7 linked regions of the Sus scrofa genome follow. The protein of the gene in region 4 interacts with the protein of the main gene of each other region in a pairwise test. Links are inferred from orthologs where the notes say so. Each region holds a gene or a part of one and is shown on either strand. Other genes may lie near its edges.

The links.
Region 1: the proteins of TFIP11 (region 4) and COX5B interact in binary tests that used the Homo sapiens proteins (3 or more experiments, as listed by UniProt). The two-hybrid records come from large-scale screens. The link is inferred for Sus scrofa from reciprocal best matches to the Homo sapiens genes TFIP11 and COX5B.
Region 2: the proteins of TFIP11 (region 4) and LATS1 interact in a two-hybrid assay, tested with the Homo sapiens proteins (2 studies listed by BioGRID and IntAct). The two-hybrid records come from large-scale screens. The link is inferred for Sus scrofa from reciprocal best matches to the Homo sapiens genes TFIP11 and LATS1.
Region 3: the proteins of TFIP11 (region 4) and NDN interact in a two-hybrid assay, tested with the Homo sapiens proteins (2 studies listed by BioGRID and IntAct). The link is inferred for Sus scrofa from reciprocal best matches to the Homo sapiens genes TFIP11 and NDN.
Region 5: the proteins of TFIP11 (region 4) and CCDC68 interact in binary tests that used the Homo sapiens proteins (3 or more experiments, as listed by UniProt). The two-hybrid records come from large-scale screens. The link is inferred for Sus scrofa from reciprocal best matches to the Homo sapiens genes TFIP11 and CCDC68.
Region 6: the proteins of TFIP11 (region 4) and GNG4 interact in a two-hybrid assay, tested with the Homo sapiens proteins (2 studies listed by BioGRID and IntAct). The two-hybrid records come from large-scale screens. The link is inferred for Sus scrofa from reciprocal best matches to the Homo sapiens genes TFIP11 and GNG4.
Region 7: the proteins of TFIP11 (region 4) and ARMCX1 interact in binary tests that used the Homo sapiens proteins (3 or more experiments, as listed by UniProt). The two-hybrid records come from large-scale screens. The link is inferred for Sus scrofa from reciprocal best matches to the Homo sapiens genes TFIP11 and ARMCX1.

The regions. Positions count from the first base shown.
Region 1 is NC_010445.4:56,629,533-56,633,641, forward strand, and holds COX5B (cytochrome c oxidase subunit 5B, mitochondrial precursor), read right to left. Parts: upstream 2,576-4,109; 5' UTR 2,561-2,575; coding exon 2,458-2,560; intron 1,921-2,457; coding exon 1,847-1,920; intron 1,675-1,846; coding exon 1,575-1,674; intron 958-1,574; coding exon 845-957; 3' UTR 765-844; downstream 1-764. UniProt on the Homo sapiens protein: Component of the cytochrome c oxidase, the last enzyme in the mitochondrial electron transport chain which drives oxidative phosphorylation.
Region 2 is NC_010443.5:16,273,402-16,277,815, reverse strand, and holds the start of LATS1 (serine/threonine-protein kinase LATS1), read right to left. Parts: upstream 2,862-4,414; 5' UTR 2,627-2,861; intron 1-2,626. UniProt on the Homo sapiens protein: Negative regulator of YAP1 in the Hippo signaling pathway that plays a pivotal role in organ size control and tumor suppression by restricting proliferation and promoting apoptosis.
Region 3 is NC_010443.5:142,411,324-142,414,381, reverse strand, and holds NDN (necdin), read right to left. Parts: upstream 1,695-3,058; coding exon 717-1,694; downstream 1-716. UniProt on the Homo sapiens protein: Growth suppressor that facilitates the entry of the cell into cell cycle arrest.
Region 4 is NC_010456.5:44,099,413-44,102,836, reverse strand, and holds part of TFIP11 (tuftelin-interacting protein 11), read left to right. Parts: intron 1-657; coding exon 658-1,182; intron 1,183-1,303; coding exon 1,304-1,410; intron 1,411-1,975; coding exon 1,976-2,144; intron 2,145-2,529; coding exon 2,530-2,773; intron 2,774-3,371; coding exon 3,372-3,424. UniProt on the Homo sapiens protein: Involved in pre-mRNA splicing, specifically in spliceosome disassembly during late-stage splicing events. Intron turnover seems to proceed through reactions in two lariat-intron associated complexes termed Intron Large (IL) and Intron Small (IS).
Region 5 is NC_010443.5:104,471,531-104,475,871, forward strand, and holds the start of CCDC68 (coiled-coil domain-containing protein 68), read right to left. Parts: upstream 3,052-4,341; 5' UTR 2,901-3,051; intron 1-2,900. UniProt on the Homo sapiens protein: Centriolar protein required for centriole subdistal appendage assembly and microtubule anchoring in interphase cells. Together with CCDC120, cooperate with subdistal appendage components ODF2, NIN and CEP170 for hierarchical subdistal appendage assembly.
Region 6 is NC_010456.5:55,651,442-55,655,784, reverse strand, and holds the start of GNG4 (guanine nucleotide-binding protein G(I)/G(S)/G(O) subunit gamma-4), read right to left. Parts: upstream 3,043-4,343; 5' UTR 2,540-3,042; exon of another isoform or gene 2,535-2,539; intron 1-2,534. UniProt on the Homo sapiens protein: Guanine nucleotide-binding proteins (G proteins) are involved as a modulator or transducer in various transmembrane signaling systems.
Region 7 is NC_010461.5:83,131,060-83,135,648, reverse strand, and holds the start of ARMCX1 (armadillo repeat-containing X-linked protein 1), read right to left. Parts: upstream 2,875-4,589; 5' UTR 2,586-2,874; coding exon 2,339-2,585; exon of another isoform or gene 2,234-2,338; coding exon of another isoform or gene 2,176-2,233; intron 1,895-2,175; exon of another isoform or gene 1,835-1,894; coding exon 1,731-1,834; exon of another isoform or gene 1,727-1,730; intron 975-1,726; exon of another isoform or gene 914-974; coding exon of another isoform or gene 908-913; exon of another isoform or gene 859-907; intron 608-858; coding exon 1-607. UniProt on the Homo sapiens protein: Regulates mitochondrial transport during axon regeneration. Increases the proportion of motile mitochondria by recruiting stationary mitochondria into the motile pool. Enhances mitochondria movement and neurite growth in both adult axons and embryonic neurons.

The sequences.
Region 1 (4,109 bases), on a different chromosome or scaffold from region 4:
GGATTCTTAGCCCACTGCATCATGGCAGGAACTCCTTCCTCACTCTTTTAAAGCTGATCTTAGCCATATTTCACCTCAGTATGTATTGCTAAAGCATTAAAAAACAAAAAAATTCCGTAACACATCTAAAATTTAGTAAGCCCCTAAATCTTGGATTTTTTACAGTTGGTTTTTTTCAAATCAAGATTCAAACAGTCCACACATTGCTTTTGATTGGTATCTTCCTCATGTCCATTTCACTTGCTAAGTACTCCCCTTTTTTTTCTCCCTATAGTTTATTTGAAGAAACTGGTTGCTGGTTTCTAGAACTGTCCCATATTCTAGATTTTGCTGATGGCATCCTCATGAACTATGCTTTAAACCTGGGTCCCTTAAGACTTCAAAGCCAAAACTCTCCTCACAAGGCCACTCTGTCTTTAGAACAGCATAAGGACCTATCTGCCAGGCTCTTTATATACTCCTACAACCTTACAAGATACTTATCCTTTCTTTTTTTCTTTCTTTTTTTTAATGTGATCCATCCCAGAGAACATGTCCCCAGTGATAAAGCTAAATGATGGAGTGGAGCCAGTTCTACAAGTCCAGCCAGCCTGCTTCCACAGCCGGTTTGCCCCTTGCCAGGTGGTTCCTATCACTGCATTAGGGATTGGTAATCTCAGTGTACACAGTGGATGGCAAGCTAATACGAATAGACAACTACCTCTGATATAAGAATTACCCATACCCTTCTAGAAATACAGGAAAGAAAGAAGACCAGCCAGCCATGGGAGGAGGAGCCAGTGTAATGGCTAGTCTTTATTGGAAGAAACTTGCCAGCGCATCTTGAGTGTGTTAGTGCAGGGGCTCAGTGGGCCAGCTGGTGCGACACCAGCTTATAATGGGTTCCACAGCTGGGGCATCGCTGGGTCTCGCCTTTGTGCACCCAGAACCAGATGACAGTACTGTTGTCTTCTTCACCTGAAAGAACATAGGTGGTTGAAAGCTATCCAGCCTAGAAGAGGGGACTTTCAACATTAATCTCTTCTCTTCAGACACCTCTGAGACACAAAATTATGGCTGACACTGCCTAACAGGGTGTCTAGCAAAGGAGAAATACAATAAACACTTTCTAGATGAATACTCCTTCCTCATACTGCCTTTCCAATAAGGCAGTATTTTTTTCTTTTTTGCTATTTTTTTTTTTTTTATTAGGGCTGCACCTAATAAAAACAGCATATAGAAGTTCCCAGGCCAGGGGTCAAATCAGAGCTGCAGCTGCTGGCCTATGCCACAGCCCCAACACCAGATCCTTAACCCACTGAGCGAGGCCAGGGATCAAACCCACATCCTCATGGATATTAGTGTCTTGTTCATAACCCACTAAGCCGCAACAAGAACTCTCAATGAACCAATATTATTTATGTTCCAGGCCTCTCTCCCGTAAGGATCACCTACTCAAGCAGAGGGGTATGAGAGGGCCAAGACCCTTATAACAACTTATTTATACACACACAAAGCACAAGATATGAAAGAGCTTACAGACCTGTATAGTGGGCTATATTAAATGGGTAAGAAAATAGTGTTGAGGTACTTACAGATGCAGCCCACTATCCGCTTGTTGGTGATGGAGGGGACTAAATTAGGGTCTTCCTTGGTACCTGAGGCTGCCTTTGGGGCAAGTATATTGTATGGGTCCTGAAAAGACAAAATAAGAATCCATTATGCCAAATGACTCCTACCTTCTAGGGGTTAGCGGTATTGTTCCCACATGCCAGGTTTCCAGGATCAGTGAGGCCCAGAGAGGAGACTACTCTGATCCCATCCAAAACCATAAACTCCTAAGAAGACATATAAAGTTTCTCCTCACCAGTCCCTTGCGGGCGGCCATCATGACCTCCCTCTCCAGCCCAGTCGCCTGCTCCTCATCAGTAGGAACACCACCTGAAGAAAATATGGTAATTACCATGTCGTCTGAAATGATCACGATGGAAAATGCACATACGCAAACTGCTGCATATAGTTTTAGTGGGCTTATTGTCCCCTAAAGACCGGAGTCATGATACCCGAAAGTGGCAACATGGGGTGATCTTCACTTCCTTCGGCCACGGAGGCCGTTTTTCGACACATTTTTTTCCTAAAAGCAGGTTAATCAGAGTCCTAGTGGAATACATCCAACTTGAGATACGCGCGGGTCTAAGGAGGGGCTTAGCCCCACCCCCCATGTCCTGGCTGCAATCCCTGCCCATCAAGGTCATCTAGCATTTCAGTTAAGGATTCTTTGGCAGCGGGGTCAGTCTGGTGGTCGGCAGCAACGGCGGCCCAGGGTAACAGGGAGACGCCTGTGGAGCCTGAGGCCTTCGGGGCCAAGGGGCAGCCACTGCGGCCGCGAGGTACTGAAGGCTGTCCCCCGCCCCGCTGCCCCCACCACCCCGAGAGAGCAATGGCACGGGTCCCTGGCGCGCCGGGGGGGCCTAGTACCTCCAGATGCCATAGACCGCACAACGGCGACTCCATTGGGACCTCGGGCCCTCAAGGTCTGCGCGGCTAGCGCTCCAGCTCCACGGAGTAACCTTGAAGCCATCACGCCCGCTACAAATACCAGCACTTCCGGTAACAGGCTCCTGAGGTGCAGGGACTTCCGGGGGAGGGCTGCTTTCTGCGCAGAGTCCGCCTTCCGCTTCCTCCGGCCCCTAGACCGCCCCCCTCACGTGACTCCTCGGGGCGGCGGGGGGGGCGTTGGGGCAAGGCCTGCGCTTGCGCACCTGTGCCTCACTGCCCCGCCTTGCAGCCCCGAGGGCATGGAGGCGGTCACGGTTTCAATTGCAGGCTTCTGGGGGCTTTGCCCTTTAGTAACGCTCGGATTTGGTGCAACTCGTTTTACTTCCGTGGGACTCAGTGCCCCGCAGGTCAATGGAAAACCACGCTGGAGCCGATAGTTGTGCCGAGTAAACGTGGAGCCTGCTGACGGAAAACATTAAGCCTGCGTCGCTCAAGATACTTGCTGGATCCCAAAAGGTCCAAATTTAGGAGTAGGCTAGTTGTGGTGCTGGTTCACCTGGCCGTTTGTGAGCCACTGCGAACTTGTAACCCAGCCTAGGAGAACTTGAGCAGGAGCTCCCCGCAGTCCTAACGTCAGCTTCTTGTTACGGTGGTTTTGAGGTGATGAGGTTCAGGCCTGAGGCGAGGCTGGGGTGGCAGGGGAAGGGACGGTCAAATTGTGGGCCCTTCCTGGGAGCCAGGCCCTTGATGATATGGGGTAAGGTAAAGGGGTGGTTGCATTGGGAGGCTGTTAATTAAGAAGTTAAGGGAGGGAAGCAGGAAGCGGAGTTGGTGACGGGAAATGGAGCTCCAGCTCCAGAACGTACTGGGGCGAGTTCTCTTGTTTAAAACTGAAAACTTTTTGGCCTGTTTTTTGGTTTTGGCCCGGGTCTACAGCATGTGGAAGTTCCCCGGCCAGGGATGGAACCCATGCCAAAGGAGCGACCCAGGCTGCTGCAGTAGTACTGCTCGGTCCTTAACCTGCTGCACCACAAGAGAACTCCTAAAAGCTGAAAATGTCTTCTGTAGCCGCCCCCATTGCCCCGCAAGCTGAGGTGTGCAAGTTTCTGTAAACGCTGCCTTGTATGGATGGGCTCCTAGGAACTAGTTCCTGCTGTCGGTGTAGCCCTGTTACAGACTGGCTGCATGCAGCATCTTTTTCCCTATTGGGTAGAAAATTCTTTCACAACAGAAATTTTGCTCTATTCATCTTTGGATTCTCTGCCTTGCAGAGGTCTGACATATGGGATCAAGTAAGTTTTAGTAAGTTTAATTCTTGGTGAGAATATACAGAATCAGTATTGAGGGCCTCTCCTGGCCCATTGAGGTAAATTTGAGGTAAATTGGGAAGGGTTGAAATCCCAGGTATTCCCACTCGTACTGTGCAGGTTATATTTTCCAAAGGATCTGGTGGAGCATTCCTTCACATGAGCACAGCTGGTCTTTGTGGCTGCCCCTCCATCAAGAAGAAAATCATCTGTAAAGCCAAAGATGGTTTTGTTTTTTTTCCCTGGTCTTGTGGAAGTTCCCAGGCCAGGGATCTGGTGGCCTATGCTACAGCTGTAGCAATGCCAGGTCCTTAACCTGCTGTG
Region 2 (4,414 bases), on a different chromosome or scaffold from region 4:
TTGTGCTTCTCTACCTTCATGTTCTTACTCTTCTTAGGAGACCCTCTGCCATATTCCTTCTTGTAGAAATTATACCCAGCATTTATGGTGCCATTCAAATGCTTCCTTCATGAAGCTTTCATTGAAGTGCCAGCTGCTATCCTCCTCTGAACTTCAAATGCACTTTACACAGGCAAATAAAACTTGTTTTTGCCCTATTCTTGTACTTGTCTTATTTTTCCCACTAAGCACAGACTGACAAAGCAGAGGTATCTTGGATATTGGATGTGTGTGTGTGTGTGTGTGTGTGTATTTTATTTTAAATTATAATTTGAATTGATCCAGAGTAAATGGATCCAGAGAGGTAAAGTGGCCCCATTAAAATCATACAGCCAGCTGGAGGTCATGCTAGGAATGGACTCCACATATCCTGAAACAGCCCAAGGCTCTTTTTTCCATGTCATTTTTTTTGGTCTTTTTGCCATTTCTTGGGCTGCTTCTGCAGCATATGGAGGTTCCCAAGCTAGGGGTCCAATCGGAGCTGTAGCCACTGACCTACACCAGAGCCACAGCAACTCATGATCAGAGCCGCGTCTGCAATCTACACCACAGCTCATGGCAACACGGATCCTTAACCCACTGAACAAGGCCAGGGATCAAACCCGAAACCTCATGGTTCCTAGTCGGATTCATTAACCACTGAGCCACAACAGGAACTCCCCAAGGCTCTTTTTTATCATACCTACATCTTAGTTTTCCTAAGGGATCATGACTCACATTCTTTGAAGGGATAACTTGGTTAGACTGAACAGACAAAACCTCCATTTCTTAGAAAGTTCGGACCTTCATCAGATGTACAAATGTCAATAAGTACAAACAAATACTGCTGATATCTTACCCAACTTAGGAAAAGAACAGAGCCCATTACATAAGAAGATTTCAAATTGATACCTTAGGTTGAACTAGGCTTGTAAAAAAGATGGTATCTTAAAGCTTTGACTAAATCAGTTATGAGAAAAGCAACAGTACTGTCTTAGCAGTATAGTCTTAGCTGTCCATATGGTAATATGTAAGAATCTCTGCATTCTGATGACATTTTCTCCAATTCACTTTCTAAGAGTTAACCTATCAAAAGTGAGAACAATCATTATATTTTATCATCATTTGAAAAATGACTGCCATTTCTACTTGATAAAAATGTTGTTCAATGACTAAATAACTTTCATAGTCTACAAAAATCCACCACTAATCTAAATATCACATCTAGAGCAAAAACTAAATAACCAGAGCTGGAACTGTTCTAAGGCTACACTATGTAGAGTAACAAGGAGGAGCATTAAAAACAAAAACAAAAACTCAACCTAAAGAAAGAAATCCACATGTGCCATATCATGCCAAATATATCTAGCAGAAATATTTTTATTTGCTTTTGAAGGCTGTCACCATATTTATTAAATACTCAGGCACAGGAAAAAATGCGCCTTTTCTAGCCTGTATCATGATCTAGTTTCTTGCAGTAACAGCCGATCAGAGGAACACAATGCTACTTCTTTCACTGTTAAATCAAATTCCTCCACTGCCTTAGGGAATCAACTAGCTCATTTTACCCGTGTGTCAACTAATTAAAGGAAAAAAATAAACGTAGTTAAATCACGAACATAGATACCTTAGCAGAGCACATTCATTACAATTATAATATCCGACTTTTTCTTCTATATGGTGGAAATCTGACAAAAAATTCTTAGTCCTCAATAACAATCCATAAGACCTGACACCCTTCATGGTTCAAGTCCATTTCCAAAATTGGAGTGATACAATACTGTGTGCGAGATTATAGTTCTCACTAGATTTATGAATTAACTTCTAGATAACGATGTAATATTTTGAGTCGTATTAACATATGGGTCAACAGACATTAATTTTTGTTCCCTTAGAAAAGAACTTTAAACTGAAGAAGAAAATAGCTTCCAACTGGAAAGAATGGGGTTAAATCACTTCACCTGAGAGTCATTCTTTGTGGCACAAAGTCTTTTTGAAGTTACAATAAACAATGTCCCCTGAACTTCCTTTCCTTCATTTTCTGAATTTACAGACATACTCCCTCCATCTCTCCTATCCCTTCCAACTATGAACAGCAACCTATTTACAGTGGACTGTAAATAGAAATTCTCAGAATTTCTTCAAGGTATATCCAGGAGCAGGTCCTTCTGGAATGAAAGAACTGTGGCTCCTTCACTGCACATTTCCTTCACAATCACCTTTCGCTATCCGTTCCTTCCTGAACACCGCTGACCGGTGAGGGTTGGAGACAAGGGTGGAGGGAGGTGTGAGCGAAAACAGTCCGCGCAAGGCCTCCAGTGAGACAGGATCTTCCCGGGCTAACCTGAACCTCCAAGGCCGCAAAGCCTGGGGCTCTTCCTCCAGCCCCGGGCGCGGCCAACCCTCGCTTCCCCAGGGCAGGGCTCCGCTCAGGTCCATGCAACCAGCCAAATCGGGCCCGTACCGGGCCGGCCCGGCCCGCCCGTCCGCAGCGGCCCCTGGACTCCCGCCAGCGGGGATGGGCGTGGGCCCCGACGGCCACCGCCCCGCCAACGCGGGCTCCGGAGGAGAGAGTGAGCCCCACCCGCTACGCCAGCCCCGGACCTACCTGCAGAGAGCGGGGCTCCTGGACAGCGGCCACGGGCCCGAGGGCGGGCGTCGAGGCGGCCGGAGCCCGTCCCAGGGACCCCAAGTGTCCCCGGTGGGGCAGGGCGGGCAGAGACGCCGGGGGGCTGCCGCGGGCCAGCGCGGCCCGTCGCGGAGGTCGCGGGGACCTGGCTCTCCCCTCAGCACCAGGCCGCCGCCGCCGCCGCCATTTTGCCTTCCACTCGGTGTCGCCGCCGCCGCACTCCGCTGCAGGTTTCCCGGATGTGGGCATTTCCCGGCGTCGCTTGCGCGGGGGCCGAGGACTGGGGGCTTCTGCCCGCCCGGCCGTGGGGAGCGGGCGCGCCGCCGCCGGCCTCCCGCCCTCCGCGGCCGCCCGTCCCCCTGCGTGTGCCCGCGCGTCGCCCCGCGTCGCCCCCGCTTTGCGCTGCGCAGGTGACTCGCCACGGCTGATGGCGTTCGGCTCTCCGCCTCCCAAGCCCACTCATTTAGTTCAGTGTCTTTCTCAATTGAGCGCTTTCTGTGGAAGGACGAATGTAGAATAAAAGGTGCGCCTCTGCAAGAGTTTAATTTCCAAAAGGTAACAGCCGTGAGTTGCTCTCTGAAACCTCGCGGTGGACCTCGGGATTCGGAATTTCTAGAGGCTTTGAAATAAACTGATGTTTGCTTAGCACTCTTTCCCCGAGTACATCCGTGAGTTTGTTTTCTGAATCAGTCAGATTAATATATTCGCGAACACGAACAGACTAGGGGTTCAGAGATTTCTGTCAACTGAATAATCTGTCAACTGAATCGGTATAAAAGGAAGTCATTATTACCATAACTGGAATAATTTTGACTGCAGCGAAAGAGGCTTTATCTTGTTAGATGGAATTGGAAGTTTGGGATGGGATCGTTGGGTTTATGATGTTTGAAGATCCCCTCCACTCTCTGCCCATGGCCTTTGCCAATTTTGCCTCTAGAAAATATATGCAGTTAGTACTTTCAAATATCTCCTTTCATCACATTTATGCTGGAGACTAGCTATTATTCGTTTAAACCAAAGCCTCTTTTTTTTCTGATGTTGAGTTAGTGGCTGGCTACTATTTCCAGAAGTTCAAATATGAAAACTTATGATGAAAGAAAAGATTACATTCCAAGAGCATTTGGTTGAAAGTCTCTTCCACAGGTAGAGTTTGTAAAAGGTATGATCTAAAGGGAGTCATTTAAGGGAGTTCCTTTTGTGGCTCAGCGGTAAGGAACCTGACTAGGATCCAAGAGGATGAGGGTTCAATCTGTGGCCTCGCTTAAGGATTGGGAGTTGCCATGAGCTGTGGTGTAGGTCGCAGACTTGTTGGATCCCTAGTTGCTGTGGCTGTGCTGTAGACCAATTGCTGCAGCTTGGATTCCACCCCTAGCCTGGGAACTTCCATATGCTGTGGGTGTAGCCCTAAAAAAGACAAAGGAAACCAAAAACAACAACCAAACAACAAAAACAAAGGGAGTCACTTAATAGCCCTGGGTCTTTCTTCAGCTGGAGAACTAAGTGACCAGCAGGGTATCTTTCAGCCTCAAAACTATATACATTTTATGAATCTAGTATGTCCACAGGCCTGCTTGCTCTTTCCAGGATTATGTATCTGGAAGAGCATGCTGCCCCCCGAAACTTTGTCACCTCTGTCACCAGCCCACAGAATTTTCTCATTTAAGCTCCTCAAAGACGTTTGGTTAACATTTGCTGAATGAATGAACAAATAAATGTTAGAACCACAGACAAGCTCAAAACCTAAAGGCAGGTATTTTCAAAAACCTA
Region 3 (3,058 bases), on a different chromosome or scaffold from region 4:
AAACTATACACCTCACACATATGAGTCACGATTTCCCCACCCTATGAGATGAAATATATCTGTACATTGTGTAAAATATCTCATTCCCAACCCATACTACTTTGTTAAAAAGATAAAAGTACACTTTTCCATAAAAATGACTGTATCACAAGAATCTTTAATGTTTAAAGTTTACTCATGGTGGGGTTGTTTTTGTGTTTAGTAAACTGTGCCAAGTGTCCATACTGAGCCCCTTTAAGTCCACATCACCACACTCCAGACAGATGTTTCCTGTGCCCAGCAAGATCACAGAGAGAGAGGTCTTGACTTTTCTCTTGGTTAGACCAGCTTTACTGGTGAGTTCGTCCAAACTCTCTAGTACCTGTCTACCCCCATACACATCATCAGTCCCATGTAAAAGAATAAGATGGAAAATGTCTCAATGTATTTCATAAGTTTAGCACGTCTCTGGTACAAAAAATTCAAGAAAGGTAGCACAAAAGCGAAAGCACCAACTGAGCTTACTTATAAACAAACATGCATGAATCCTACACACTACCTAATTATTACTGAAATGAATACAACATTGCATTAAAAGGTATAAAAGCACTGTACTGAAAACGTAAAAGTTACACGTGAAATACTGCACTGTAAATCCTGAATACTCTAATGTCCCACCCCCACCCCTCCACCACCCTGGTGAGGGTCAGAAACCATCAATCTGCCTCCAGACCTTGCTAGTCCTCGGAGACACTGTTGCGGGGGCAGTGGGCAGTGGGGTTGGCCTCCCGCAGGGCTCTGGCCTCTTCCAGAGCTTCCCTGTAGCGGGAAGGCCAGGCCTGGGGGTCTTTCTTAAAGACCCTGGCCAGGAACTCCATGATTTGCATCTTGGTGATTTCACGGCTGGCACGGGAGCCCCAGAAGAACTCATACTCAGGGGGCTCGACGTGGGGGACGCGCTGGTACTTCAGGTAGTTCTGCTGTACGAACTCCTCAGTGATAAGCTTTCTCACATCTCCAAAGGTGGAGTGCTTCTTCCAGGGCCTCAGCCCCAGGATGCGCAGCACGTTCCACACAGCACTCTCACGGGCACCGCGACCCTTTACGTAGATGAGGCTCAGGATCATCAGCAGGAGGCCTGTCATAGGCATGCGGTTGCTCAGAGCAACCCTGTCCAGCTCCTCAGGCGCCAGAGCTTTGACCAGCGAGAACTCCATGGTGTGCAGGCTGGTCAGCCTCAGGTGCAGCCCGAACACTCGGGCGAGGATGAGGCTGGTGCGCCTCAGGATGCTTCTGCACCACTTCTTGTAACTGCCGATGACATCTTTCACCATGTCTGGGAACCAGATGATCATCCTTTTCTGGTCCTTGACCAGCACGTACCACATGAGCTCATGTGCCTTCTGCACCAGCTGGGCCGGGGCCGGCGGCGCTGGGCTGGGCTGGGCTGTGCTCCGGGCCTGGTGGGCGCGGCCTTCCTCCGCGGCCTGCTGTAGAGCCTTTGGGTCTCCCTCTTCGCTCAGGGCCTGGGGCGGCGGCGAGGCCAGAGGGGCGTCGGGTGGGCCTACAGGAGGGATCTCTGGCCCTGCGAGGGTCGCGGCCTGGGACGCAGGCGGAGAGGGCCCCCCGGCCACCCCAGGGCTGCTGTGCACCTCGGAGTGGGAGGCATCGGCTGCAAAGTTGGGGTCACACACGTCCTTACTTTGTTCGGACATGTTTGCTCCGTCTGGCAAGGGCTCGGCCGCTGCGTCCAGGAGCTCTTCGACTCTGCGCTCCCTCGGTGGACTCCTGGAGAGGAAGTGCGCGTTGCTGCGCGCGGCGCCTTCCGCAGCGGCCGGGCGGGGCGGGGCGGCGGCGGGACAGGCTAGTGCGCCTGCGCATCCGTGGTCTGTGGGGGCCCTGCCGGCTGGCGGTAGGGGCGGGGCGCCTGGAGGGCTGGGGTGTATTGAGGTCCCAAAGGGGTAGGGGGCCTAGTGGAATACTGGCCTCATGACCCACAGTCGTCCAGTTTGGGCTAAGGAGGCGGTCCTGGGGCCGGGGGGAGGAGCGACATGGGTGAGCACTGGACAAGGAGCAAGTTTAAGAGGAAAGATGGAAACTTAAGCTTCCAAGATGCTGAAGCTGAATTTCTTAGGAAATGTTCAATTGGGTATATGTAGAATCAAGTTAGATGTGAGTTTCAGAGAAAGGCCCAGGTTGGCACATAAGCTTGGGTTTTGGATAACAAGTGTGAGAATTTAAACTGACAGAACAATCAGGGTCACCCAAGAAAATGTGTCAACTCTGAAAAAGATGCGGGATATCAGAATCATGAAAGATAGCAATAAAAATTGATTGATTCACTGCGAGTTCCCATTGTGATACAGCGGAAAGGAATCTGACTAGTATCCATGAGGATGCAGGTTCAATCCTGCCCTTGCTCAGTAGGTTAAGGATCTGATGTTGACATGAACTATGGTGTAGGTTGCAGACAGGGCTTGGATCCAGTGTTGCTGTGGCTGTAGTGTCAGCTGGCAGCCGTAGCTCCAATTCTACCCGTAGCCTGCTATGGGGAAAAAAAAAAAAAAAAAAAAAAAAAAAAAAAGATTTCCTGACTGCCAAGTCCAGGGGGTTATGAAGGAAAAATGCAGAATGTAGTCAATACATGTACAACTGAAACTTTCTTGAAGACAATGTACTAATGATACTGTTAGGTGCTTGAATGGTCATTGATTTTGGTTTTTCTACTTCCCTTGGGTAATTTTGATGTAATTTTAATTTTTTGATTAGGATCTCATCACACAAAGATTGCTGTATTTATTAGCACAGACTAGTATGATGTCTTTCTACTTGTTTGTCCAGGAAGGACCCTAATTCCCCTTATGACTGATGTAGCCTTCACGGGTGTGTTCGTGTAGACCCCACCTCTGCGCTTTCACACAAACTGACTGGTTCCAGAAATTGACAGCCACACCCAAATCCCTCCTAAGACTTTTTTATTTGTCTAACTAACCAATTAGTTAATTAACACAAGTTCCCTAGATTGTATATGGCAGACAGTCTCAGGTGACCAACAATATGAGATGCAATGTACTGGTGG
Region 4 (3,424 bases):
TGGCGGTACTTCTGTTACTGTATAGACATGATCACATCTCCTCAGTCTTCTTCAGACATTGAAATTAGCTCATCTCCTTGGGTGCCTTTGTGGGTTTTGTATGTTTCATGTTATTTTAAAATTAAAAAAAAAAAAAGCTATTACAGAGCAACATGCAATACATTTTAGAAAATTAGGAAATACAGAGGCGAAACTATTAAAAATATTTTCCTTCCCGTAAATGACCAATGATATACATCCTTCCAGATCTTTTTGTCTAAATATGCATGTTTTTTACCCAAATGACATTTTAATGGTATATGGTGTCTTATTGCCTGTTTTGGTCCGTATAGCTTGTGCTTTCCATGGCAACATATTTTCATCAACTTAATTGTCCATACTCAAATTTTAGCAGTTGTCCTACAAAGTCTCTTCCATCTGGTTTGTCCTGAGGGACCTAGTCCAGAACCGCCCGTTGCATCTGATTGTTCCATCCTTCTGACGTCATGCAGCCCAGGCCTCACTTTGATGAACACTGCCCTTCTCCAGGTCTGCTGAATGGCCTAGTTTCTATGCTTTCCCACCAGCACCTCGCCTTCCTTGGGCTTAGGTGTGTGTCTAGTAGGGCAGCAGTGCTAAGTGTTAATAACCTGCATCCCCTCTGCCGCCTTCTCCAAGGTCATAGACATGACGGGCCGGGAGCAGAAGGTCTACTATAGCTACAGCCAGATCAGCCACAAGCACAATGTCCCAGATGACGGGCTCCCACTGCAGTCACAGCTGCCCCAGCCCGGCAAGGAGGCCAAGGCCCCCGGCTTTGCGCTGCCAGAGCTGGAGCACAACCTGCAACTGCTCATTGAGCTCACGGAGCAGGAGATCATCCAGAACGACCGGCAGCTGCAGTACGAGCGTGATATGGTGGTCAACCTGTCCCACGAGCTAGAGAAGATGGCAGAGGTGCTGGAGCACGAAGAGCGGGTCATCTCCAACCTAAGCAAGGTCCTGGAGATGGTGGAGGAGTGCGAGCGGCGCCTGCAGCCCGGCTGCAGCAACCCCCTCACCCTGGACGAGTGTGCCCGCATCTTTGAGACCCTGCAGGACAAGTACTACGAGGAGTACAGGATGTCCGACCGTGTGGATCTGGCTGTGGCCATCGTCTACCCGCTGATGAAGGACTACTTCAAGGAGTGGGACCCCCTCAAGGTGACTGGGCGGGAGGCTCATGTGCTGCCTCTTGTCTGGGGCAGTTCTGGGCTTTGAGAGGAGGTCTGGAGGGTGAGGGCCCAGCCCCAGCCTGCTACCTCAGCTGCCGTTTTCTCCTCAGGACTGTACTTACGGCACGGAGATCATCTCCAAGTGGAAAAGCCTCCTGGAGAATGACCAGCTCTTGTCCCACGGTGGGCAGGACCTCTCGGCAGACGCCTTTCACAGGTACTCCTGGTGGGGCTGGCACCGCTCTGGGAATTGACATTCATTCGCTAGTTCACCTGAGGCTTGTTGCGTGGCTATTGGGGATGTGCCTCTCACGTCTCCAGGAGGTGGGGAAGGCAGGTGCTAAGTAAACAAGTGGACAGATAAGTGGGCTGCAGGCTGGGAAGAATGACAAGGATGCCCACCTGGGATGGGTGGGGGGTGTTGGGGGCAGAGGTCTCTCAGGAGGTGACGTTCAAGCTATAATCCAAAGGGTGGGTGGCATCGGCTGTGCAGGGAGAGCTCTAGGTGGGGAAGCACATGATGACACTTGGAGGGGACCCTGCGACCCAGCAGCAATCCTGCCAGGGAGGCAGGCACCAAGGAGACAGGCCCCAAGGCCAAGTGGGTGCTCAGCACGGAAGATGCAAGCTCACGTCTGGCTGATATGTGGGCTGGCCTCTCGGTTTCCTGTGCTGGGTTGCCGTGCTCTTGCCATTTTCAATTCTCATTTTCAGGGTTGGTGGCAATGTTCATTGCATACGTGGCAACCAATCTGTGCATTTAACCATCCTTTCTTGCACAGGCTGATATGGGAAGTCTGGATGCCTTTCGTTCGAAATATCGTCACTCAGTGGCAACCAAGGAACTGTGACCCAATGGTGGACTTTCTGGATAGCTGGGTGCACATTATTCCCGTGTGGATCTTGGATAACATACTGGACCAGCTCGTCTTCCCCAAGCTGCAGAAGGAGGTAGGGCCAGTCGTGGGAAAGAGCTGTCGTCAGGAAGCATGGGGTCTTGTTTAGGATTTCTCTTCATTCTCTCACTGCTGTTAAGATGCCTGGAATTAACAGAACTTGTCAACATAGTTATTGCTCTGTAATGCTAACTCTAGTTCTTTGCCCCAAAGCCCCCCTTAATAGGTTTCCTTAATAAACTTAGAATTGTGCCATTTCTGAGATAATACATGTATGGGCATATGTGTGAGTCACTGTCCCTGTTTAGGGGAAATGTCATGGAGTCTGGGGCCCCCTTGCATGCACAAAGGACTGTGGACCTCAGCCAGCAGAGCACGGGGCTTCGTGTGACTGCCCACAGGCCACCATAACTGCTGCTTGCTCCCCACTCCTCCTGCAGGTGGAAAACTGGAACCCACTGACGGACACGGTTCCCATCCACTCCTGGATCCACCCGTGGCTGCCCCTCATGCAGGCGCGCCTGGAGCCGCTGTATTCCCCCATCCGCAGCAAGCTGGCCAGTGCCCTGCAGAAGTGGCACCCCAGCGACTCCTCTGCCAAGCTCATCCTCCAGCCCTGGAAAGACGTCTTCACCCCGGGCTCCTGGGAAGCATTCATGGTCAAGAACATAGTGCCCAAGCTGGGTAAGGAAAAGGGGGAAACACACCCAAGTACAGCAGCTTTGCTGTCCTGGTTTCTGAGGCCAGCAGTAATGATTATGGTTCTTAAAACATGGCCTTTGAATTCTGTGCAAAGGCTTATTATTATTAGCACATGATATTTCTCACCATGAAAGAGGTGCCATTTTGGGCACTAGGGCTGAATATTACTAACCAGGGTCCCTCTTGCAGTGACAAAGTCAGTGATTAGTCCAGAATGGGCTTTCGTGACAGTATAGCCACAGGTGATCTGAAACTTTTGTTGTATTGGATTCCAAATACGGAGCTATTTCTGGGAGTTCCCTTGTGGCTCAGCAGGTTACAGGTCCAGTGTTGTCACTACTGTGGCTCTGGTCACAGCTGTGTTGCAGGTTCGATCCCTGGCCTGGGAACTTTCATGTGCTGTGGGTGCAGCCAAAAAAAAAAAGTAAACATAGAGCTATTTCTGGATTAGAGAAGAAAGCAAGTTTTAAGAAGTGTTGTGTCAAGAGCTTAAAATTGACCTTTGAAAGCAGATCAAAGGCTGACACTGGTGACCTTGTGCTTCTGAGGCTTTGCCTTAGAGACTGGGTTTCTCTTCCAGGGATGTGCCTTGGGGAGCTGGTCATCAACCCCCACCAGCAGCACATGGATGCC
Region 5 (4,341 bases), on a different chromosome or scaffold from region 4:
AAGAATATATTTTTCATAAATATAAATAGGAGTTTGGCTCCTATCAGTTATTTTAAAATTATGCTATCATGGGAGCTGGACACAAATTTCTGTCTTACCACTTCAATGTGATGGCAAAAGGGCCCATCAATGAGTAAGCAAAATGTGGTATAGCCATTCAGCAGAATGAACATCAGTTAGCAATAAAAAGGGACCCCTAGTGATACCTGCCACAATGTGAATGCACGTCAAAAACATTATTCTAGGTGAAAGAAGCTAGATGCTAAACACTCTTCTGTATGATTGCATTGTATAAAGTGTACAGGAAAGGCAAATCTAAAGAGTCAGAAAGTAGACTGGTGGTTGCCTGGGGCTGGGTCTGAGGATGGGGAGTGACTGCAAACAGCCCCTTAAGATGGGTGGTTAAGGGGGGATGAAAATGTTCTAGAATTGTACTGTGATGATGGTTGCCCAATTCCATAAATGTTACTAAAAATCATTGAATTGGACACCTGGATTTTCTGGTATGTATATTATACTTCCAATAAACCTGCTTTTGAGAAAACAGCAAAAGAATAAAAAAAGGGAAAAATGCCTTGCATAAAGTCATTCTTCTGCTCTGAGGTAAAATATGACTGTAGTCATATTTTTTAACTTACAGGAAAAAAAAAAACTTGGATACAGTTTTCTCAATTTGAAATTTTTCACTCATTGATTTTTTTTCCCCCTAAATTACTGGCATCTACTACTCCAAGTTTAGTTTTTATTTAATTCCCATGAAATTGATATTAAACTATTTCAAGTTTAATATCAAAATACTGCATAGCATTAACAGACTACAATATTCCTAAATTCTTCCCCAGCCTAAGCAAAAGAGGAAACTGACCTAAGACGCAAATTCCTTTTAAAATCTATTTAAGTCAGTGTAAAAGAGTCAGTGATTTGAAACTAATCAGTCACTGTTAAAAATAGATGGATGATTAGGTGTGGTCCCTAATCTATGGCCTCAGGGTTGCCCTGAAGGATTTCAAACTGGTGTAAATTCCACAGGGACAAGAATGTGTCTTATTTGCACAAAGCTGTATCCCTCTGTGTCCCCAAGACAGAACAGGGTGCCCTGCACAGCAGGCACTCAACAAGTATTGGTTCAATGAGTATATGAATAGGCCCCTAAATTCTCTCTCTCTCTCTCTCTCTCTCACACACACACACACACACACACACACACACACACACACACGCGGGCACGTGCTTGCTTTTGTTTTCCAGACTCAGTGGATGGCTGTTTCCATGCTCAGTAAAATGTAAATACACTTAAACAGGCTATTACATTCAGAGTAACATTTTGCCATTATATTTTTTTTTCTATCAACAAATGGCCATCTAATTTTGATGTAAATATCTCACTTCAAAGACTCAAAGCTACTACTTCAAAAGACTTTTACAGTCCCTTCCAAATTCTTCAGTTGTTTCCTTTTTCAGTCATAATTCCAAACAAATAAATGTACACCTCATTTTTTAGTTTTGGCCAAATCTAGCTTATGTTTTTCAGCTTTGTCAGGGCTTTAGATTATAGCTCAAGCCCACTGTCCAGCACATTATAAATCAAAAAGCTAACAAATACATGCATCCCTGTTATTAATTCATGAAATCACAACAATGAATTATACAACTGAAATAGTATCTGTATATATTTCAGGAGTCTCTTTTTAGTTAGTGCAGCTTTAGTTACCATATTCAGCAAATCACAAAGGTAAAAACCTTTAAGTTTTCCTGGGTCGCAGGAAGTGTCAGCCATTTTCATTCTTTCTGTAAGTAATTGAGAAGGCCCTGCCTTAGGCACAAATTCCTCTGTGTCAGGGACCACCACTCTCAAATCAGTGGCATAGAGGGAGGGCTAGGGGGAGGGGCAGTGCAGCCCAGGAAACAGCAGCACCATTTGTGTCCGCTAGGATATCTGAGACTAAAGCTCAGATCGTATTTCTGAAAAGCCAGACTTGTGCAGAACTGAATATTTAATAGCACAGGTAAAATCAAAAGGACAGATTATGTTTTCCCTATTGCAAATGCAGAATAATTCCCTTTTGGACACTTCATCTAGACTGTATATAAAAGGAAGTAACAAAGGTTTTGATTCCTGAAATGAAACAACTATAGTATAAATAGTTATGTATGCTTGAGTTATGCTTCATTTATGTATGGGGCTAACTGCATCTTCTGTGCATATATATATGATCATATATAATTTATATATGTAAATAATAATATTTGATTATGTACGTAATTTTTTTCCTTTCAAAGAAGGTTGAAAATGTACAGCCATGTCATCATCCAATCTAAAATCTACCCTTGCACCGTCCTGTGCTATTCTTTCCGTAAGTTGACACTGCTCCTCTGCACAACTGCCTGGGGCTGAGTAACTTTCAGTTCTAAAATCCCATGACCATAGATAGCACTGTCAACCAATAGGCTGTTCTCCTTTAGCTACACCTGCAGCTACAGATGCCAGCACGGATGAATGAAGGTGTAAGACAACCATCTTCACTCACAAGCATTCGTTTGTGCTCTTAAAAATTTCAGGCGCGGTGATCTGTCAAAGTCGCCGCGCGGGGGTTCACAGGTGACAGCATGTTTTCTCCACCGCCTCTGAATCGCGAGAACCCCTGGCCGAGGGACGGCATAACAGCAATCGAAATAAATAATCAGGTGTGCACAGGGCTAAGGGTGGGGCATTCTCTCTCGAGGAAGGTAAGCTCCGTTCCTGGAAGAGCACAAACTTTTCGCCCAAGGAATTCAAGTCCAGAAGAGAGGTTTACAGGGAGAATATCCTCCTAACCGAGGATCTGTTTACAGGAAAATGTCTTTGGTGTGAGGGCGGCGCTGGGGGAACCGGCTCCAAGGGCACCTGGACATTCACTCACCTGGGGGTGACCTGTGCGCGGATCGCAGGGGCTCGTCTACCTTGGAGGGCGCTCAGCCAGAGCAGGATTCTGCCGCTGCTCCTCCCCTCGGCTCTGGACCTGGGCTGAGTCTTCTCCGTGGGGCTGGCTGGCTCCACCCCTCAGGGAGCGCCCGGGGCAGAGTCCGGCGCCCTGGTGGCTCCGGGGAGGAGCCTAGGCTCCTGCCGCCCCCGGAAGCACACGCCGGGCCCCAGGCGCTCCGGGGTGCCTTCCCTGCATCCCTCAACACTGCGTACCTCTCAGTAACTGAGTCATGTAAAGAGGGTAGTCGCTGCTTTATTAAAATGTTCTCTTTGCACAAACAATAAACTTTTGTTTTTGTTGCTTATAAATAAGCCTTTTTTATTTCGGAGTAATTTTAGATTTACAAAAAAAGTTGCAGAGAGAGTATAGAATTCTCCAAAACCCCCCTGCCGACGTCCCCTAATATTCATGTATTACATCGCCATAGTAGGCTGGTCAAAACTAAGAAGGTAACACTGATCCCTTTCTATTAAATAAACTCGACTTTTTTTTAGATTTCACTGGTTTTCCCCCTAATACCATTCTGTTCCAGGATCTCATTCAGGTTTCCACACTGCACTTAGTGTTAGGTCTTTTTAGTCTCTTCTTGTCTATGACAGTTTCTTAGTCTTTTCTTGTTTTCCTTAACTCAGTCAGTTTTGAAAACTTCGGCTAAGCTATTTTGTGGATATCTATCATTTATTTATTTTTTTATTTTTTAATTTCCTGGAGTATAGTTGACTTACAGTGTTGTGTTAGTTTCAGGTGTACAGCAAAGTGAATCAGTTATACCTATACCTGTATCCATCCTTTTTCAGATTCCTTTCCCAAATAGGCCACCACAGGACATTGAGTAGATTCCCCTGTGCTCTACAGTAGATCCTTGTTACTTACCTATTTCATATTTAGTAGCGTGTGTACACCAAACCAACCTCATTTGGTCTTGTCTGATGTTTTCCCATGATAAGGCTGTGGTTTGGGGTTTGGGGGAGGAAGACCACATCCTACTAGGTGCTGCATGACAGCAATCCTTGTTACTTGGTTAAAGTAGTGTCTCCCTGGTTTTTCCAAGGCAGAGCTACTATTTTTCTCTTTCCATCTTTGGATGACTAAGTTTAGCCCATATTTCAAGAGAGGGTGGGGAGAAGGAAAGTCCATCTCCTGGGGGGAGGCGTATCTACATTATTTGGAATTATTCTGTAGAGATGTGTTCCTTCTCTCCCATATCCCTATCTATTCAATCAGTATGGATTTATATATATATTTCTTGTATATTTTGAGCTGTAATTCAACAGTACATTACTTAATTTGCTGCTCAAATTTTTCCACATTTGACGATGGGGAAATCTTTCAGATTGGCTCCTGTGCCCTTTTGAAAATTCTTACAGAGCAGGTGAGA
Region 6 (4,343 bases), about 12 Mb from region 4:
CAATGACACCAATATCAAATGCTATCATTTACATGTGGAATCAAAAAAAGGACACAATGAATTTCTTTGCAGAACAGATACTGACTCACAGACTTTGAAGAACTTATGGTATCCAAAGGAGACGGGTTGGGGGTGGGGGAACGCGTTGAGGGTTTGGGATGGAAATGCTGTAACATTTGGTTGTGATGATCACTGTGCAACTATAAATATAATAAAATTCACTGAGTAATTTAAAAAATAAACTTCTTGATGCCAGAGTACATGTAGAGTGAATAAAGATACCAAATGAAAACAAGAAAAAATCTGCAAGATTAAACAACAGCACAGGCTCAGAAAGGTGTTCTGAGAACAAATCAGGTAATTTGATGTCTTAAAGACATTGATTCAAAATTCCATGAAGAGAGCCATCTACTAACCTGCATGGCATTACTGGGCATTTTCCCTTCTTCAAATATAACAAAAATGACACAAGGTAAGAAAAATGTGACAGTGACATGTGGCAATAAACAAATGAGAATGACTTGTCCAGTGGTCTTTAGCCTCCTCAGCCACTTGGGCTGCCTTCCTCCGTAAGCAGTAGTTGTTCGGTGAGCGAGTGTGTGTGTGTGTGTGTGTGTGTGTGTGTGTGTGTGTGTGACATTATACACAGTCACTCCTAAGCCCATCCTCCTGACACAGCTGCCAGACACTTGCTTCCCCGTGACCAGAGGACAGCATCATCCAAGTTCCACCTGATATTCCACCATTTCCAAGAATGTACTGAGATTTGGGTGGGCTTCAGGGACTGCCATTTTGGCTTTAAAAACTGTAAAATGCTTATGGGAAAAGCTTTTTCCTTGTTTTCCTACCGTCGATATGCATGAGAAACTCAAAGGCAACTGCCTGGACAATTACGGTGCTCCTGGGAATGACCCTCTGGCAGTGCTTTTTTTCCCAGCCGGCCAAACATCTTGAGGCTTCCTCTGAGCAATTTTATTTTAAGGAGGCTGAGGACTGGAGCCATGTGTGGGTGGAGGGGCAAACATGAATCCCGTAGTCCTAAATAGTCATTTCAGCCTAATAACCCCATAGTGAGGAGCTACCTGGCAAAGCACCAAAATAAATTCTGTATTTACATTAACGCCTACTATGTACTGAGTACTACAACCAGGTCTTACCATGACTGATAACTGAGCCAACCCCACATTTCAAAAATAATTCACAGTTTACCTGTACCATCCTGTTTCTCAGGACTGAAGAAGGCTTTCCAAGGTAGCCTTTGGCAGGGAACAGGGCCAGATCAGATGGCAGGTGCCTCCCTTCCCCCCGCACCATGCAAAGATCAGGAAAAGGAGTTCCCCAAAGAATCAAGAAGCTGGTCAAAAGCCTGGGTCCCCTCCCTGCCTCTTTGAGGCATTTGCCACTGACTGTGCCTGTCACACCCTGAGAAGGAAGCACCACAGTAAGGACTCAGCAGATGACAAGACTGACACGCTTTAAGGGGGAACACCAGCCCGGCCCAGCAGGCCTTCTGCTCTGACTGAAAAAAGGCCCTGTAGTAGCCCTTTGCAGTCCTGGGAGGCAGCAGAAAAAGAAAACTGGAGCTGGGAAGAGGGTAGGAGAACCGTGTCCATGATCCCTTTTATCACTTGATCAAAGTTTAATATTTTTGGATTTCCTAATAACTGGCCCAAGAGACACAAAAATAAGCAAGTTCTCTTTATTTTTATATTAAGAAGTTTTTTCCAGTCATACCTCTATCCACCTTCCAGCCTCTAACCCTCTTCTTATTATTTCCAAGGTAATTAAAAAAAATCAAACCAAAGCTCCCGCAATGCCATTGGGCGCCCGCGCTGCGATCGCAGCTCATTTCAGCACCAGACTCGGGGACAGACGCCATAAAAGAAGGGAAACAAACCCGTGCCCCGTCTTCCACTGTGGCCCCCGGGACCGCTCCCGAGGCAGGTGTCCCGGGTGCTGGAGAATTAAGAGGGCTTCTTCAGGCCAAAAACATTTCCCCAAATAAAATGACCAACTAGCCACTCCATTCGTTCCATTACGGTCCTCTTTAGCGGGGGACGTCCCTGCCGTGAGACTAGCGAACAGCCATGACCTATCTAGGGAAAGGGGGTCCCCAGGAATCTCCCTCGCCTCAAGCCGGAGAGATCGGGCGGCTCTGACCCCTAGGAGGCCCCTTAAACGTTCCGAGTTGCCGGTCCAAACCTGCGCTCGGGTTTCCCTACGGCTCGGCGGAGTGTCCCGGGTTCGAGGAGCTCCTGCACCGGCCAGCGCTGGGCCGCCGACGCCCACCTGTGCGGACGCCCAGAAGGCCGGGCTAGCTGCGGGCCGCCAGCATAACCACAGGTATTTGCGAGCTTCCACTGACAGCTGTAGGACGACCCAGGCACCAGAACCGTCTCTCCAGTTCCAGAGACTTTCCCGCCCGAGTTTCCCTTTCGTCTCTAGCTGGGCTCGAGCTCGCTGGAGCAAGGGCTGTGTCATAGCCCACCCGACACGCCCCTGTCGGCCAGCCCTCCGGCGGGGAGCCCACTTACCCTACCCGGGAGCGCGGACCGAGGGCGCCGCTCACGCGCTGGCTTTGTCTCCGGCGTGGTGCACGCGAGGGGCTGCCAGACCGATCGGCCTCGCTCCGCTTCCGGGCGCGGGGCTGAGGGGGCTCCGGCTCCGCGCCTCGACACTGACGGGCTCGCGGAGGAAACGCGCGCCCCGCACCGGCCCTCCCCGCCCCCGGGGTCTCCGCGCCGCGTCACCAGCCCCGCCCCGTCCCGCGCCTCGCGGGCCAGGCGGGGAAAGACCACGTGAGGCCGAGCGGGGGCGCCGGTCCCAAGCAGGTGCCCCGCGGGAGAGTGCAGTCACCCAGACGCCAAGTACTTTGTCTGCTCAGCCCCCTGTGCGTGCTCCAGGCGCGCGTCCATGTGCAGCGGGGGCAGAACGCGTGTCCCCCGACCCCCGACCCCTCGCGTCCACGTCGGTCGCGCCCCCTCCGTAGCAGGGTCTCGCAGGGCGCCCGGGAAGGGCCGGGAAATCCCGCCTGCCGCCGCCGACGTCACGGATGCGTCATCGGGGCTCCCGCACCCGGGCTCTTTTCTCTGCCCGTGCCCCTCGCCTCCCAGCCCGGACCCCGCGGCCAGCTCTGCGCGCTCCCAGCTTGGCCTCGCGCCCCCTGCCCGGCTCAGCTCTCCGCCTGGAGCGCGCGTCGCCCAGGGGTCGGGGGAGGGGAGATGAGAAGTGGAAGCGGGGTCTTGGCGCCCTGGTCCTCGCTGGGTGCTGGGACCTGAGCCTTTGGCATCCTCACCCTTGCCTGAGGATTAGATCCAGGGACGAGCCAGGCTAGGCGCGGCTTTTACATCCATCCGTCCAAAGAACACACAATATACCCTCCCCCACCCCCAAGGGGGCGATGAAAGGTGAGATGCTTACTGCCCATAAAAATTCACAGGGCATCGTCTCTTTTTACCGGGCAAAGGTTAACCCTGACGTTGCTGAGTTACAGGAAAAGAAGGGTGGCCACGCCAGCCCTAGGCTTTGAGAGTGATGCTCTCCTCCCGGCCGCGACCGGGATGGCGGGAACACAGTCTCTGTGTTAGTGGAGAGCTGTTTCCGCTGGGAAATCCTTGGCGACACCTCATTCTTTTTGAATTGTAAGCGTTTGGCGATAGAAATATTTAAAACCTCTCCATTATTATAGTCCTTTTCCTTTAGGGAAAACAGCATAAGTGCCTTTCATTTTCCATCTCCTGGTAAAATAATGCAAAGTCTTTGGAATAGGGAAGCTACATAACACTTCCAGCCGTGTTAGCAAGATTGGCAGGAAAAGGAGGCCGATATTAATTCCTTTATAAGAACAGCAGAAAAATGTGGTTAACAATTAGCAAATATTTCTTGAAAATCTCCATTTGCCTCCTTCCTCCACCATCAGCAGCAGTTCCTTGCGGTAAATAATACAATGATCTTCTTTCTTACATCTCTGATCCTCATTGACTTGACATTTGCCCCAGACAAATATGCACCTTCAAAGAAAGCAAATGCAGAGGTCAGAACAGGCCCCCTGGGGCCAGCAAGCATCTCACACAGCTTTTTTTTCCCCCCAGCTCAGAAGTGCCCATTTAAGGCACAGAGTTAAAATGTGATAAAATGATGCAGCCAGTAAATACCCACTGCACTGACCTTTTTTATTTTTTATTTTTCAGGTCCACTCCTGTGGCACATGGAAATTCCCAGGCTGGGTGTCGAATTGGAGCTGCAGCTGTTGGCCTACACATCAGCCATGGGAACTTGAGATCCAGGAGATCTGAGCCAGTCTGCGACCTATACCACAGCTCAGGGCAACGGGATCCTTAACC
Region 7 (4,589 bases), on a different chromosome or scaffold from region 4:
TGCCCCCAACCCTAGCTCCATTCCTCGCTGGGTGGCAGCCTCCACCCCTCACTCCTGGACAGGGTAAACCAGGTGCAAGGGTCCTGGTCCCAGAGATGGTACCCAACCTGGCCCCTTTGCCCACCTTTGCACTTGCCTGTTCCTTCAAGGTGCTGAAAAGGGCCTTGGCCTTGGCCTCTAGGCCACCTCCACTCTGGGCCTTCGAGTGGGCCTCTGCCTTTATATCGGATCCACTCTTGAGTTCCACGGCCACCTCAGCTTTGGCCTTTGAGTCACCCTGAAGTCTAGCTCCAGCCCCCGCCCCAGAATTAGCCTTAGATCCTTTCCCAGTTTCTGCCATATCACTAGGTTCCTCCTCCTCATCATCATCGTCGTCCTCCCAGATTTTCTCACTCTCATCTCTTCCCCAGGTCAGTTTATAGACGCAGTAGCAGGCACCAGCCCCAATCACCACACCAGCAGCTACGCAGCCAGCTTCCCGAGTGCGGCCCATGCTAGGGTGAGTGTCTGAAGGGCTTTCTCTGGCCCAAAGAAGTGCTCCCACGTAGGGGGTGGAGTCCTCAGCTACAGCTGGCAGTCTCTGCTGCAGCTGCAGATACTGCAGGACCTAGGAATGAAAGAAATATTTGAGGCTTCAGTCTCCTCCTTTTGTGCCTTTCTATGCAGACTGAACCTCCAGATGGACAAACAGACCAAACAAATGGGGGACATGGCAGGGTCTCAGGGCTAGATCACTGATTCCTGTCTTCAACAGGGAAGGCAATTTTGAAAACTCTCCCCACCTCCAGATTCTCCAACCTCATATTCAACCACCACACCTTGATATGTTAAAGTTAAGATATCTAATCAGTTCCCTACCTCCCCTCCCCCTCCAGATGTTCCTGAGGACAGTAGTACCCCCACATACACCCATACAGGTCCAGGCAATGTCTTCCTTCTACATCTTGCTTGGACGAGCACTGCGTCCTGCAAACCTGCATACAAAGGGGTGGGGAGGGTAGTGCTGAATGCTCAGGGGACAGAAAATGGACTACACCAAGGATGGGACACGTGTCCCTCTCCAGAACCACTAGCCTTAGCCCTGCCTAGCCCAATTCCTCCCACCTTTGGTTCTGGTCCTCTTTATAGAGCCCTGGCTCTGTAGTTTATTATGACCTGCCTCCCACCCCGTTTCTTCCATTTCCCCCAATCTTCCACCCCACCCCTACCCCCACAAATCACTTCCTTCAAAGGTGACACCACAACTCCTTCTCTGTAATGAAATGGATGGTAGTGGAGCAAGGGTGTCTGTCTAGTAGCCAGACAGGCAGAAAATGTCCAAAGGTCTTGTCCTCCTCCCTTGCTTCCGACACCGCCACCATCTCAGAGGTACCAGGACACTCCTACCCTCATCCATTATATCCACTGCTCTGGAGAAATTTCCTTCCTCCCTTATCTCTGTTTCTTCCACCAAATCTAAGGACTGACAACTCTGGGACCTAGTTAGTGCTTGGAGTAATTTGGAGGAAGGTTTTCTCCACATCTACCCCAGAAATCTTGTGACACCGTTGTCTTCTCAGCAACTTTTTTCCCCTGCAGAGCACTTTCTTTTGCAAGCTCCGCAATTGGTTCAGAGAGGAGGAAAGGAAGAGGCTGTGGGGGAGGTCCATGGGCCCACTGGAGTTTGCAGTCTCCACCATTCTCCACCCCAGGGATCCCTAAATAGTGCCACCACCCTCACTCTGACCTACTTGTTTCTGGACAATTTTCCTCTTCTTCCCGCTCCTAGGGTTGGGTTGGCTGTCAGGCGCAAGATCCCACAGACACAGACAGGCGACACAGCAGAGACGGATGGCTAGGCGGACAGAACAGCACTTCAGACAGTCCCAATACCAGCTTTTCGGAATTTAAGGTCCTGGTTGTCAAACGGATTTCAACTTTTGGTCTCCCACCCTACCCCCACTTCCCCGGACTCCGCTGACCGCAGCCCTTTTCCTGCAAGGGCATCCACCCACCCCTCCCCCCCCCCCGCCCCCAGCCCCAGCCCCAGCCCCAGCCCCAGCGGGTCGGCCATTTTCCCAGCAAAAACCACACCCCTTTCCAACAACTGGAAAGAGGAGAGGCGGTGCGAGTGAGTGAGGAAAACCCAAGGAGCGAAAGAAAACCTAAAGATCCCTTTGATTCCCCCTCCCCTACCCGCTCCTGGCGCCAAACGACAACCATTTTTCCTGTACGCGCTGTCATGTCCTATTTCCTACATAAAAGAGCAGGGAGGTGGCTGGAGAGTCAGTAATGCGCCCAAGTTAAGGCGAGGACCTCAGGCATCCCCGCCCTTCTGGGGGCCGCGGGGCAATCCCACCTTTACGCGGACCTGGGGCAGATTCTTTATTCCTTTGCTCCGAGTGGTACAGCGCCCTACTGAAAGACACGGGGAATGACAAGACAGACGCACAGCCCCACGATTCTGGCTTGCTAGATGGACCAACACACAGGACAAGAATCTTAACATCGGCCCTTCCCGATTCCAGGCCCTGGATGCCAAAGGTTTCAAGTTTCCCCTCCTCCTGGCTGGGGTCTCCCCTGGATTCTGGCCCCCAAATCTTCATTTTTGTTCTTGGAAGGGCCCGGGATAGTGCAAGGGTGTGGAGAAAGCGGGCCTTGTCCCTCTGCAGTCTCCGCCCTCCGCTCCCGCACCGCAGGGATCCCCCAGGCAAGCGCCCATCCACGAACAGACCTGCGGAGATCAGAGCAGTTCCCTCCTCCTTCTCTTCTCCTGGCCGCAGGCCCGCGCGCCCTCGAGGTAATAGGGAGATGGCAACCGGACCAAACGGAGACCGGGATTAGTAGGACGTCTGCATGCGTCGGCTCCAGCTCACGTGAGGGCCACGTCACTCGTGAGCTCAGGACCCCAAATCACCACTCCCACCAGCAGTGCGGCAGGAGACCCCCCCCGCCCCTTTTTCCTTCCTCTCCACAGCAGAACCTGCCACTCATTTTCCTCTAACCATCCCAGAGACCAGAAGTATTTCTCTTGTGGTTGGAATTTGTCTTTCCGTATCTGCACCTATGTCATTAGTCTTGTCTTCCTCTTTTGAGGAATAAAATTTCTCTCCTCTATTCCCTGCCCATCCACCCCTGCCCCCAACCCAGCACGAAGGTCCAGCATTTCCCCTGCACCCCTATACGAAATGGGATTCAAGATCTCAGAAAAGGAGATGGGTAGTGGGAGTGTCTTACTTTCTTAAACTTTTCTGTTCATTAATAAAAAATTAGGAGTTCCCGTTGTGGCTCAGCGAGTTACAAACCCAACTAGTATCTATGAGAATGTGGGTTCCATCCCTGGCATTGCTCAGTAGGTTAAGCATCCTGCGTTGCTGTGCCTGTGGCATAGGCCAACAGCTGCAGCTCCTATTGGAGCCATAGCCTGGGAATGTCCATATGCCACAGGTGCGGCCCTTTTAGAAAAAATAAATAAAAGAATGTATTGAGAAAATAAAATGATGCTATTTTCATTGAATGGAGAATAATTTAAGTGGGAGGGGAAGACCCAAGAGGCCTTGTTGATTTTATTACATTTATTTATAACACAAGGAAAATGTTTCCACTGGTTACAGACAAAAAGCAGCTTTCAAAGCATAGTGACCTATTTTAAAATTGAAAACTTATTTTTCACATGATCTATGAATTAGTCCACAAAAAGATGATCTAGTAGTCTAATCTTGGCCATTTTAGATAAATGAACTATCACTCTTCTACTTTTGAATCAACTTACAATTTGAGAAAACAAAAGCAACACAATCCCATCTTGTTTGATTAAACAATGTCATGTATTCAGTGTCTCAAAGTATTGGCCGACTGCCGTGTGAACCTCTTGTGATTTGATGGCTGTTCTGAACACCTGCCCTGGATTTTAACTTTCAGTCTATTAAGGCTGAAGCAGCTGAGGGTGTAAAGGATGCAGAAATGGTCAGATTCTCCCTGCCTTGTCTAGAGTGGAGGGAGCAATGTGCTGCCCTCCTATCTCTTTTCAATTCCAGAGCCCCTCATCCCCTGCACTCTGGCACGTAACTCTGTTGCTCATGCCAAAAATATACATGGCCAGGTGACCAAGGTGGTAAATGCCACTTTTACTCAGGTAACAAACCTGAGTAAAAAATGCCTTTGGCTTCTTCCCTCCATCCCTCCCTCAAATTCCCACAAATGTAACTTAGGGATACAGAAAAGAGATTGCTGCTTCTGCCTACCCCTGCAGTTGTGTGTTTCCATGAAGCCTCGAAAAGCACTAGGGCTGCCTGCCCTGCCCTATTCAGGATACCTGAGTTAACCTTGCTCCTTAACCTGTCTGCTGCTACCACCTGGCATGAGATGTGCAGCCTGCTGGCCTCTCACATCTGGTCACCTTACTTCAGGGCACCAGAGAACTCAGTCTAGAGGTAGGGTCACTGCCTGGAGCCCACACCCACCTTGGTGCCCTCTCAGCCAAAAGTATGCCTGGGCCCAAGGGACTCTTTCCACTGACCATACTAATTAACCTAGAGTAGGTTTTCTCAACTGGCCACTTCTGTGTTCTGCCTAAAATAGTATCTAAGTCATGTGCATGCATTTGTTCA